Linked DNA regions of Arabidopsis thaliana. The protein of the gene in region 2 interacts with the protein of the main gene of each other region in a biochemical or structural test. Each region holds a gene or a part of one and is shown on either strand. Other genes may lie near its edges.

Evidence for each region.
Region 1: the proteins of AT1G49100 (region 2) and AT2G02780 form a complex in vitro, tested with the Arabidopsis thaliana proteins (one large-scale study listed by BioGRID).

Annotation. Positions count from the first base shown.
Region 1 is NC_003071.7:781,171-787,021, forward strand, and holds AT2G02780 (Leucine-rich repeat protein kinase family protein), read right to left. Parts: upstream 3,753-5,851; 5' UTR 3,477-3,752; coding exon 2,216-3,476; intron 2,126-2,215; coding exon 2,004-2,125; intron 1,929-2,003; coding exon 1,682-1,928; intron 1,595-1,681; coding exon 1,401-1,594; intron 1,335-1,400; coding exon 1,297-1,334; coding exon of another isoform or gene 1,272-1,296; exon of another isoform or gene 1,218-1,271; coding exon 1,103-1,217; coding exon of another isoform or gene 1,040-1,102; exon of another isoform or gene 1,014-1,039; coding exon 762-1,013; 3' UTR 504-761; downstream 1-503.
Region 2 is NC_003070.9:18,165,420-18,171,741, forward strand, and holds AT1G49100 (Leucine-rich repeat protein kinase family protein), read right to left. Parts: upstream 4,687-6,322; coding exon 4,602-4,686; intron 4,468-4,601; coding exon 3,927-4,467; intron 3,778-3,926; coding exon 3,296-3,777; intron 3,210-3,295; coding exon 3,065-3,209; intron 2,962-3,064; coding exon 2,890-2,961; intron 2,790-2,889; coding exon 2,718-2,789; intron 2,560-2,717; coding exon 2,488-2,559; intron 2,405-2,487; coding exon 2,220-2,404; intron 2,136-2,219; coding exon 1,915-2,135; intron 1,810-1,914; coding exon 1,683-1,809; intron 1,565-1,682; coding exon 1,499-1,564; intron 1,409-1,498; coding exon 1,219-1,408; intron 1,137-1,218; coding exon 728-1,136; 3' UTR 709-727; downstream 1-708. Other genes in the region: AT1G49110 (uncharacterized protein), read left to right, coding at 6,294-6,322.

The DNA.
Region 1 (5,851 bases), on a different chromosome or scaffold from region 2:
GCGTTTGTCATGATCCTGTCTTCTTGTGCCTATCTATCTTGGAGGCTCAAGAGATTGGTCAAGAAGTAAGAAGCTAGTAAAAGCCAATGGTATTGTAACAAAATTTGTTTTGTGAGCGAAAATGCATTGATCAGTAGTATGTATGCTAGGTGAGGTAACTTGGCAAAGCCACTTGCTGTTTTCGACATCTTACCTAACCTGGGTATAGCTATGGTTATTATAGTTATGTGGAACACAAGCACTTGTTTTTAGCTAGCGATACAAGTCATAACAAAGGAAGTTTATAGAATGCTGGATGAGGTAGAGACTTCTGTATTGGAGATTGCCCGAAACACGGAGTGTGGTTGAGATGGAGAGGTTAGACGTGAGCATAGTGAGAGGTTTGCAGTAACTTTTGGGATTTTCTATAGTATTCCAGGCACAGAGATTCTTGTTATAAAGAACCTGTGAAGGTTTTTGAAGATTTTGATGTCTTCATCAAGCAGGTTAGCAAGATTGTAGACTGCTGATTTGTTTTAAGAGATGCACGAATGTTCAGCGAAAGCAAGCGCGAATACAACAGAAGAGTCTGCAATGTTGTCGAGCAAAGCTGGACACACTCTCTTACATGTCTTTGTGTGTTTTTCAACTCCTTTTGCTTTTTATTCACAGATTACTAAGTTAGCTAATAAAAGATATTTCAGGTAGTCCATGAAACTACATCTTGACTTGTTTGAAACTTATTATTGTTTCTACAGTTTTTGCCTCTCTTTATGATCATTTCATTCATATATTGCTTTCATGGATGATTCATGATTCCCACTGCTTGGTCTCCATCCTTGCTGCACTTGAATTGTATACTGTAGATTCCACACAACGTCTTCTATGGAAGGACGCTTGCTCTGATCTTCGCAAAGACAGTTGATAGCAAACTCTACTGTCGTCCTCAACGACTCATAAGCATATGATCCTTTAACAGATGGATCTGCTAAGCTGCTCAATACTGATGGTTCATCTCTCAAACCGTTCTCCAGCTGCAGGAAATAATAACATTGAGGTTCTAAATTTGTAAGCCGTGTCGGATTCTTAAAGATGAAAAGGTTCTGACTGAAACAGAACAGACCTGAAGCTTCAAACTTCCCATCTCTGAAGATCCTGCAGCAACTACTTTCCCTGTGATGATTTGTAGTAGTATCACTCCAAACTGGTACACATCTTCTTTCTCTCTATCTTCATTACTGCACATTATTCATTAACAAGTTTCAAAATTTGATAGAAGAGAACACATTTGATCATATCTTAAGAAACAACAACAACCTCCGAGGTTTTTTGGCTTGAGGCCTCTCTTCTCCAACCTAGAAATGCCATTAAATTTTCTTAGATTCAATTAATAGAAGAAGAAATAAAACAAAGTTTTATACCTTGGATGGTAAAGGAATAGTATAGCCACTGATTTTTACTGTGAGTGTTTCATCAAGCATGATGTTCTCTATCTTCAAATTGTTCCCAAAGATTCCTGGTGCTACTCCCATATGCAAGAACTGTATCCCTCGAGCGACTCCTATTGCTATCGCCATTCTCTGAGGCCATTTCAGTACCTCTTTCTTCCTACAGTCTGATCACAAAAATTCCCATAATGAATAACCATTTGAGTCTATGGAAACCTGAATATATATTCTAATCTTTTTCAGGTTATTATTACTTGTGAGAAAGTCCCGCAATGATCCACTAGAGATGTATTCTTGAACAATGAAGATGGTGTGTCCAGCGTGTTGATTGTGGTCTTGGTTACTGGCAATGGAGTGTCCAAGAACGCTAACCAAATGCATATGCCTTAGCTTTGATAAAACTTCCATCTGTTGAGCTAAGCTTTGTGGCAAGCTCTTCTGCTTCAGCTTGATAACTCGCACTGTCACTGGTATGCCTTCTCTTAGACAACCTCTATACAGCTGTTCGAATACCAAATATATTAAGTAATCTATTAGGTTCGTCGCCAGAGTCTCAAGTCAAGTTTTTGTTTTTACCTGTTCGCAGAACAGGCTAGCTGCATCAAAGTCGTTAGTCGCTTCTTCCAGTTCCTCCAAGGAGAAAACGCGGTACGGTGGCAAACCAATCACTGCAGATCTCATTGTCTGTGGTACACGTCCTACACTCAGAAAGATCCTGTTAATGGTTTTTGCTAGAGAAAGACTCAGTTTCAAGTGTCCAAGTATTAATAAGATAAGTCATTGTTTACTTGAATCTGGTAATGACTTAGAGCTGGCAGTTGTGGTGCTGCAAACAGAGACTTTATCAGAGGCATGTCTCTCATTGTTGCTGTTGTTCACTTCAAAAGGATCATCTTCTGATCTTGATCTTCTTCTTTTGAGGGCAATCAAAACCAACAGAACCAAAATTGCTGCAAGGATGATCACACCGATGATTATCAAAATCACTAACCCGAGTTTGATTCTTGCAGAATCTTTATCTTTAGCCTTGGGGATAGGTTCCACAGCTATTGCCTTGCTTGCTTGGTTTTGACAGAAAGAAAGCGGACGCTGATACTTCGCGTTAGGAGTGCCAATCAAAGACAAGCAGTTGAATGAGAAAAGCACTGTCTGATTACTGAAACTCTTTGAAGAGTAGCAAGAAGGAAGCTTTCCAGTTAAAAGATTGTGAGACACGTCTAAAGTTATAATCTTTGAGGAGGTGCAAGAAGAATTTGGAAGTGACCCGCTTAACAGATTCTGATCCAAACTGAGAATTTGAAGAGAAGGAATCGAAAACAGAAACTCTGGAATCGACCCGGTGAATTCGTTGGAAGAAAGGTCTAAACTTTGAAGGTTATTCAGCTTCTTGATCTGTTCTGGAATCTTGGATCTAAAGGAGTTGTTCTTCAATGAAACAGTGGTGAGCTTACTTGGGAGTGAAGGAACTTCAGGACCGAGTTTATTACCTCCCAAATCCAGCTCTTGAAGATTTGATAATCCTCTGAGATCATCAGAGACAAAACCCCAGAACATATTGTCTCTTAAAACAAGGCTTTTCAGATTCTTCAAAGACACAATCTCTTCTGGAATCTTCCCAGAGATGAAATTAGAGCTAAGATTGAGAGACTCAAGAGACGGTGATAGCTTAGTGATGATCTTAGGAGAAAGAGAACCAGAAATTCCGAGAGAAGTAAGAGACAAAGTCTTTAAGCTCGATAGTTGTGTAAGAAGAGTGAAGAGTTTATGAAAACTTCCAGAGAGCTTACTAGTTCTGTTCCCGGTGACGGTTAACTCTGTTACGTGACCATGGAGGCAGATGATTCTCAAGGAAGGAGACGGACGAATGTGACAGAAGTTGGTTGTATCAGTCCATGATTGAAGAACCTGTGGATATTGTAGTTGCTTCTGGATTTCAAGAAGAGTTTGTGATTCACTTGAAGCTACCTGAGACTCAGAGAGTACTGGAAGAAGGAAAATAAGAAGAAGAAAAGTGAAGGAAGATAAATGGATTTGAAGAGAAATCTGCATAGTGAAGATGTGTTTTGCCTTTAGAGAAACAGAAACTCACTGAAAGTTATCATTTTTCTAGGAACAAAGACAGATCTATAGGTAGTGTAGAGGAAAACTTTGGATCAAGAGAAGAAGAAGAAGAAGTAAATGAAAGTAGAAAAGCCAATTAAGGTGGAGGCAATAAATGCAATCTTTAAGTTCTTAAACTTGGTTTGGTTGTTTGTTCATTACTGCACATTGCACAACCTCAACTTGACAGACTGTTTTGCAATGAATCCAAGAAGATGAAATGTTTATTTATTTGATTTGATTACTACTATAACAAATTAACAATAAGAACTTGTATTTCACATGATTTTTGCTTTGTTTTATTAGTAAAACAAGTGCTTTTGGTTATATATGATTGATCAGATAAGATTATAGAGATGTTTCATTACTTGTCGGTGATAGGTAATGAGGATTAAGAAATTTATGTCGTGTTTTGTCTTCGAGAGAGAGAGAGAAGCCATTAGGTTTGTGTCTTTTCTTTAAAAGTGTGGTTAGAGATTCTACCAAATGTCGAGCTGTTTCTTTTATTCTGATGAACTGTTCATTTACTAATGTTAGAAAATTTGAATGGATTTTATATGATCAAGCACATCTGCACATGCAAACGGCCTTGGAATAATCGTCACTGCGAAAGTATCATTTAATATTTTCTGCAACAGACATTTTTTTTTTATCGAAAAATATGCATTTAAAATTCAATTATTTAATTTTTATTAAAATTCAATTATTTAATTTTATTAAAATTCAATTACAAATCAAGTTTGACAAAAAAAAAGAGAGGTTATTTTGGGCTTCATACGTGTAACATTTAGCCCGTATATTATATATAATACGGTTAGGCCCAAAATTGTACAACCTTTGAGTCCATATATATTTCCAAATATTTTAGTTTCTATATGATTTTTTTTTTTTTTTTTTTTTTGACAAGTAATTATACAAAAAATGATTTACTTAACATTGGGACATATATGTACTATGCTTATTCCTTGTGAATGCTAATACAGTAAATTATTTATAAACTAATCCTCGATAAATTACTATTTTTACAAATTAATAAATTCTTGACGTTTTCAATGTAATAAATAACACAAATCAATGAAATTATAAAATAATAAGTTTTTAAAAACTCTTACGTAAACATATGATCTCATCAATATCATAAATTAATAATTTTACACTTATTAATATATATATATATATATTTAATTAAATTAGTGGGATTTAACTCTAGTATTGTTCATTTTTCTTAAATTTGTATAAAATTTTTAGTAGAGTTCATTTCTAATATTTTTACTATATTGAACAAAGTGTTTTTTGTTTACTAACTTAACAATTGGTTTTTTATTTGTAATTTATTTTTGAAAGACATTGATTATAAAGACAAAAACTACTTCTCACATAGAAATTTTAAAAAATTACAAAATTAATAAAATCTCTCTATAAGATTTATTAATAAATTAATACCTTTATAAATTAATTAGAATTTATCGGTTCCGAGATTATTAATTTATTAAGGTTTAAAACTGAGCCTATAAACAAAAGAGGAGGAACAAGATCGTATTTCTAGGGTCTCAAACTACAAAAATGTAATGTATGAATTCATTGTAATCTATTTCAGTTTGTTTTTTACTTAGCTATTTAGGATCCTAGAATTTATTTATGAGCTTCTTTTGATTAAACAAAACTTTCGATTATTGTGTTTCAAGAAAAGTAAACTTCTCGGATCCTAAAACTTTGATTAGACGTCATAACATGTTTTTTATTCAGAATCTGATTTGCAGCTTTTTTGCCTTTCATTTACTGTTTTACACTAAATATATAGACAATCATCAAAATTTAAAATCTTCTATTTAGTTTTAGCTCATTTATTAAAGATCAACTGTACAAAAGTTGTAAAACAAATTCCAGTGAATGATGGTAATAAGAAATAACTTAAAATGATTATAAAGTATTACATGTTTATAGCTAAACCACATGATATGACACTTAACATTCTAATAGTTTAATTTGAATTTGGATGGTGACAAAATGATGACTCTAATACGATTTAGTTTATCTTTTGTTAATTATGTGTGTCTATCTTTCTTAGATATATTTATGTGAATGAAATAATTATTTATATGTTTTTATTATTTGATTAAAATCAATAAAATTTGTTGTAACTTAGAAATCTAGGCTTATTTCGAATTTATCTCAAATTGAGATCTAAGATTAAGTATGAGTGTTTTTGGATTGATGACAAGAGTTTTAACCATTATAATACGTTTCTTTATAATTGTAGGATTACTGCTCATGGAGGCTAATTGATCGGCATTGAGACAAAGAAAAAGTTAGTTTTCGTTTCA
Region 2 (6,322 bases):
AAACGAAAATATAACTTTGTCGTTAAACTGTTGTACATATATTTGTACAGATATTATGCTGTACAGATAATTTTGTCGTTAGACTGTTGTAAAGTGCTTTGTAATAAAAATTTAGAAAATCATGAAACAAAATGCATATCAAATTATAGAGAAGAAAATATAGATTTTTTATTTTATGATAAATTTTAGAAAAATAAAATTTACAAATGAAGATTTTAGTTATTAAACTTAGAAGGGATGAAATGTAGTAAAGAAAGAAAAATAAATTTAAAAAAAAAACAGACCCACTAAACAAACTCTATACACGTCTCTCTCTTTCTCACCCAACAAAAAGCCCTTGTTTGTAATTTCCTTTCTATACCCTCTACCCCACTTTCTTTTCTATCTCACAAGTTTTCTATTTCACAAACAGTAAAACCCTGACTATATTACTAATTGTGAATAGTGACTGTACTACCTTTATAATTAAGTTTTGTACTAGTTTGCAAACAAATTCTTTATTAATCAAAGAAACAAGCAGGACGGATCAGAACTGCAATGTGCCATATCTAGGCCTTTTGTTCTTTATTTGTTATACAGAACTATTACGTACACGGTACATCTATGAAGGAATGCATCAAATTTACCTTCTATTGGCAATAGTAAAATCAAAGAAATCATGCAAAAAATATTTTTGCTTTATGTGAATGTACATAATGTAATGCAACCGATATTTTCCTTGCGCAGTCTAGCGAGCCACAGGGTTCACTTCGGTATCAAAGGTCATGGTCACTTCGCTTGAACTCGTTGAACCCATGTTCTGACTTTTCCCTCCCCTTGAGTTTTCTAAAGTTACACATTCGGTTAGTTCGGTAACAACTTGAGTCATGGTCGGTCTTGTCGCTGAAGAATCATTTACACAAGTCATTGCTAGCTCCACAAACTTCCAAACAGAATCAGAATGGTAATCTCCCTTGAGATTTGGATCTACAATTTTTCTAATATCTCCTTTGGTAATCATTAAATTCACCCATTCTGCTATGTGTGGCTTTTCTCGAGTCCGCTCAATCACGCGCTGATTTGTTATGATCTCCAATAAAACGACCCCAAAACTATACACATCACTCTTCTCTGTCAACCAATTTGTTCTGTAATATCTGCAAGACATTATGTAAAATATGTTGAAATTGTTTCTAATCATTTGAATTAAGAATAAAACAATGTGTGTTAAGTATATACTCTGGATCAAGGTAACCAATAGTTCCTGCAACAACTGTCGAGACATGACTTTCTCCTTCGTTTAGAAATGATCTCGAAAGCCCAAAGTCAGCAAGTTTGGCTTGGAAGTGTTCATCCAATAATATGTTTGCGGTTTTGACATCTCTATGAACAATTGGTGGTCTACATCCTTTATGCAAGTACTCCAAACCTAGTGTCACAAATTCATTTGGACCTATATATGTCATACAAAACTAAAGTTTTAAGAGAATAATAGGTTCATATATAAGGCTTTACTAACCTTGTGCGGCCTCCACTGCTATTTGTAATCTAGTTTCCCACCTTAAAACATCATCACCACGCTTCCCTGGGTGTTTTTTAACCAGGACGTTAACTTATGACCAAGAATGATTTGTTACATGTTTTTGTTCCATCGAAAATGGATTAAGATTAGGTGTCTGGTATAATACTTAAATTTGGTTTACCTGAGAAAAACTCTTTTAAGTCTCCATTAGCCATGTATTCGTAGACAAGAGCCAATTCCTTCCCTTTTTCGCAGTATCCAACTAGGCTTACCAAATTCTTGTGATGAACTCTCAAAAGAAGTTCAACCTAATGAACCACAAAAGCACACATATATTTCAAATCTATGGTCCATATTTATTGAAAACTAACAAAAGACACTTGCATAGAGGAATATTTTGGTGTTATAAGTACCTCTGCTTTGAATTGTTTATGGCCATGTTTTGAAGCGTGTGAGAGTACTTTAACAGCAACTTGCTCTCTACCATTTACATATCCATGATAAACCATACCGAACCCTCCTTTCCCAAGAACACTTCTAAAGTTATTTGTCATTTCAGTAACTTCCACGTAAGTAAACTTTTTCTTTTTTGTTATTCTTGGTGGCTCGGATGATCTTGAAGTTCTACCATTTTCTGCAATATAAAAATTTCATAGATTTTGTATAGTTTCTACTAGTGTATAGTAATTATAAGAGCTTATGCGTTCACCATAAATACCTTTACTCCTTGATGGATTTTTCTTTCTAAGAACCAAAAACAAAACCAATGCAGCTATAAGAATAGCTATTAAAGCAACTGATGAGACAACCGGTACAATTATACTCTTTTTGGGATGTCCACCTTCTCCAGGTTTATTTCCACATGGTCCTTTTGTGCAAAGAAGCTTAGGGTTTCCTTCAACACTATGAATTAAAATTTCATTATATATTTTATTGATCAGACCTATGATAATCATCAACTGAAGATCAATGTAATAAATACTTACTTCAGCTTCAGTCTTTTCTTATCTATAAGCTTTTGAGGAAGTTGACCGCTAAAATTGTTTCCACTTAAGTTTCTGTTAAGGTATAAAAAAGAGATATATAATACAAGGAGACAACTGTTTATCAAAAAAAAAAAAATAATTAAAAAAAAAAATAATAATAATACAAGGAGACAACTTATAAAAATAGTTAAAACACATTATTATGTTTCATACTGTCTTAAGAGACTTACATGATCAAGAGCGATTTTATGTCAGCTAGAAACTCAGGCACATCCCCGGTCAAGTCGTTATTTGACAAATCCCTGCCATTTGATATTGTTTTAAAAGAAAAGCTCCATCACAGAAATCACAGAAGAAAACAGAAAATGTTTGCTTTTGTTCATGTGTTTGTGTGATACTTACAACTCTTGTAAATGGGTCAAATTCTGGATGGAAGGTGAAATGATCCCGGTTAGTCCACTTGAAGACAAGTTTCTAGTGATACATTCATGAAAATAGAATGTTTCAATTGTGATATATTTAGAATAGAGAATTTAATTTTAATTATGATACGGTTATGGTGATTGAAAAATCTTACAAGAAAGTGATTGTTGGTGGAGTGGAACTATTAATATTGCTGCACTTCAAACCAGCCCACAAAAACTGCTCGGGGACACATGGATCTCCTTGCCAGTTAATTCTACTCAATCCATAAGTAAGTTGGATCTTCTTGATAGCAATCACTAGAATTTCATAGTTAATAATATATCAAGAATCAAACACATTCAAAGCTACAATTCATATGTATGAAAAATGTAAATTTACGAACCTTCATCTTGGTTTGTTTCTGATTGAGGAAACTCAACAACAGTAAAAAGTTCAATAGCATTGATGAGAGGAGGAAGAGTTGACTTTGTTGTCTTCACTAGCTGCAAGAGGCAACTTCCTCCTTTACATGTCAATGTCGAATCGGGTTGGGGGCTCATAGTATCTATACTTAACATTTTAGGACTATAAGGTCCATAATAAACTTTTCCATTCAGCAAAACATTGAATTCTCTAGTCTCGTTGGCTAACAAAGTTTGAAGCTCTGCGAAGTGAAGGTAAATGTGAAACCGTGTGGTAGAATCCTCTAAGCTCCATGGAAATTCCCATGTCCCATTATCATTAACACGGGTTGCAGCCGATGCCATTGCACCTTGTGGTAGATCAAAACCATTTGAAGTGTTTACATTGAGAGTTGTGGTTACAATTTTCCACTCCTTATATGAGAATGGGAACCATCTACGGTCGTTGACATCATCGGGGTACCTATACGTATCTTGTATTAGACATAGCTAGACAAAACCTCAAAGATGTTTGGCATCAAAGAAAGATTAAAAATATTTTTATATTTACTCATTATCTTTTATACCAAGATCCAAGAAAAAGATTCATTTCACAAATTAAAGTTTACGTACCGTAAAACGACACCTGAATCATTAAGATAACCTCTAAAATAGAGGAGCAAGGAGCTCCCAATGGCACTAATGTAAGTATCACTTCTCAAAGGTCGTAGCTCCAAGGTTGATATCATCGGTGTAGTTGTTCCTGTCTTAACAAGACAAATATCCAAAGGGGTTGACCTTGACATGTGAATTATCTCCACGAACACACCACCTCCGGTTGCATTAAAATTCACTGTTGTCACCTTATTAGGGCCAATAAATAGATCAAAGTTTGGGACAGTATTAAGACCATCGTAATTTCCATATAAGAAAGCTGCTCTAATCAAGTAATTTGTTCCTTGTGTGACATTCAGGTTATAACAGTTCCGCTCTCCATCTGGAAAGTATCTTAGAGTTACAAAAGCTTTTTCGAAGTTTCGCTCAGAGTCCTTACTGACTCGGCCATTCTTTCCACTCTCGATGAAACTAGAATCCGAAGTGAATGTTAATCCAGTAGATGGATTGGTATATGGAGATCCATCAGGTAACAGACCACAATCCAAAGTGATGAATCCTAATAAAACATTAAACCAAAACAAAAATCCTAATAAGGGGATCAATGTAAAGGAATTATCAGAAAAGGAAAAAACAAATTAAGAAAAAGAACATGAAGAGTGTTTCTTAATTTCAAAGGTTTAAAGATAATACCGTTTGGATCTTGAGCCTGAACAACATGTATAAAAGCAACTGTGATGATGAACACACATAAAACTCCATGAAAATACTTCTCCATTTTTCCTATTTCTGGAGGATAACACGACCCTTGACATCTTTTTAAGTTCCAAAATATTATTTTATATCACGTTCTGATCAAGTGGATACTAGTTAAAGAAACGAAACCCATATATTGTCAACGGCCAAAATAAAATACTAATATGTCTAGAAAACCCTGAACTTTCTAACATTTGCAATTTCACAACATTAACTCAAAACATTAAGGCGCCGTTTTCTAACATTTCAATACAAAATTATTTTTCCTTTAGCCTAATTAGGGTTTTTCCCTATGGGAAACTTTGGCTATAAGTAAGCGTCATTTCAAAGTTCTGTTATCCGACTGGTTTTATTTCAAAGAGCTTAACTCTAAAAATCGTATAAAGTTTGTTGTTCTCTGTGCCAAAAGCAAAAAGAATAGTACTCCCTAATAGATGCTTCTAACAAGTTGGTATAGAAAATTATTCATTTGTGTTTGGGGACATTAAGTTAAGTGATCAACTCCATCTCTTCATATATAGCTGACCCTTACCTTCATAGTTTTCATTCGATGAACATATATATATGCGGATAAGGTAAGTTAATACTGCGAGTGATTATAATTAGTTTTAAAGCATATGGAGAACATGTCAACGAGAGATATAGAATGTTATTTTGAGACGTGTATCCAACTCTAATGATTCTGATTTTTTTTATGAAAAAGAAGGTTGAAAACCACCCAATTTTCAAAAAAAAATTTTAAAAAAGAGAAGTTAGAAAAAAGATGATGATAGTTCACTTGTTCCAACTAGAGAGGCAATCTCCCAAATGGAGATCAAGATCTATGGATGCGGTGTTTGGTTACACGGCAAGAATACTCCATTTAGACTCTAACCACACTGGTCAGACGTATTAGAAAATATGCAATCCTTGAACAACGTTTAAAAAAATAATTGAATTAATGCTAACATTTGATTTAGTTCTATAAAAACAGAGGAATTTTCACACATGCAGTTTAAAATTCCTATATGATAACAATTAAATGTATCTTTTACTTGCAATATACAATATTTTATTTCATGATTTGGTTTTCGTCTAGGAAGTTTTAAAACAAAAACAACATACTATTAATTAATCTCTAATATATTATGTAACATATTAACGACACTATGACAAAGCCCTACAAGCCAGGTTTGCATCGTGTGGCTAATGAATCTCTTTCAGAAGTCAGCTACACTCAAAAATCTGTTTTTATTTCAAATGCTATGCTAAATTATAAAAACAGCTTATATATATACAAAAAGCTATATTTTTTTTAATACAATTTAGTAACATTTTATTTTTAAAATATACTACAGAATTATATTTAATCCATAAATAACTTAAGTCTAAACTACTCGGTTCTTTCGTTTTCTTTATGGGAAAATGAAACAGCGTGCTTCTTATCCCTCTTGGGAAAATGAAGCAGCGTACTTATTAAGGCAGCAACTGAATAGTCTACTTTTTTCACACACTCGCCTCAATTCAGTGTCATTATATAATTTAGTATCTTCCCATATACGCGATAGCGTGTTAGCCAAGGCAAACTCACTAGGGATTTGTCCTCTAAGCCACGAGATGAATCTCCGTCAAATCTACGAAGTTTAATGGATGAAAACAAAAGCCGGTATTGAAGCCGT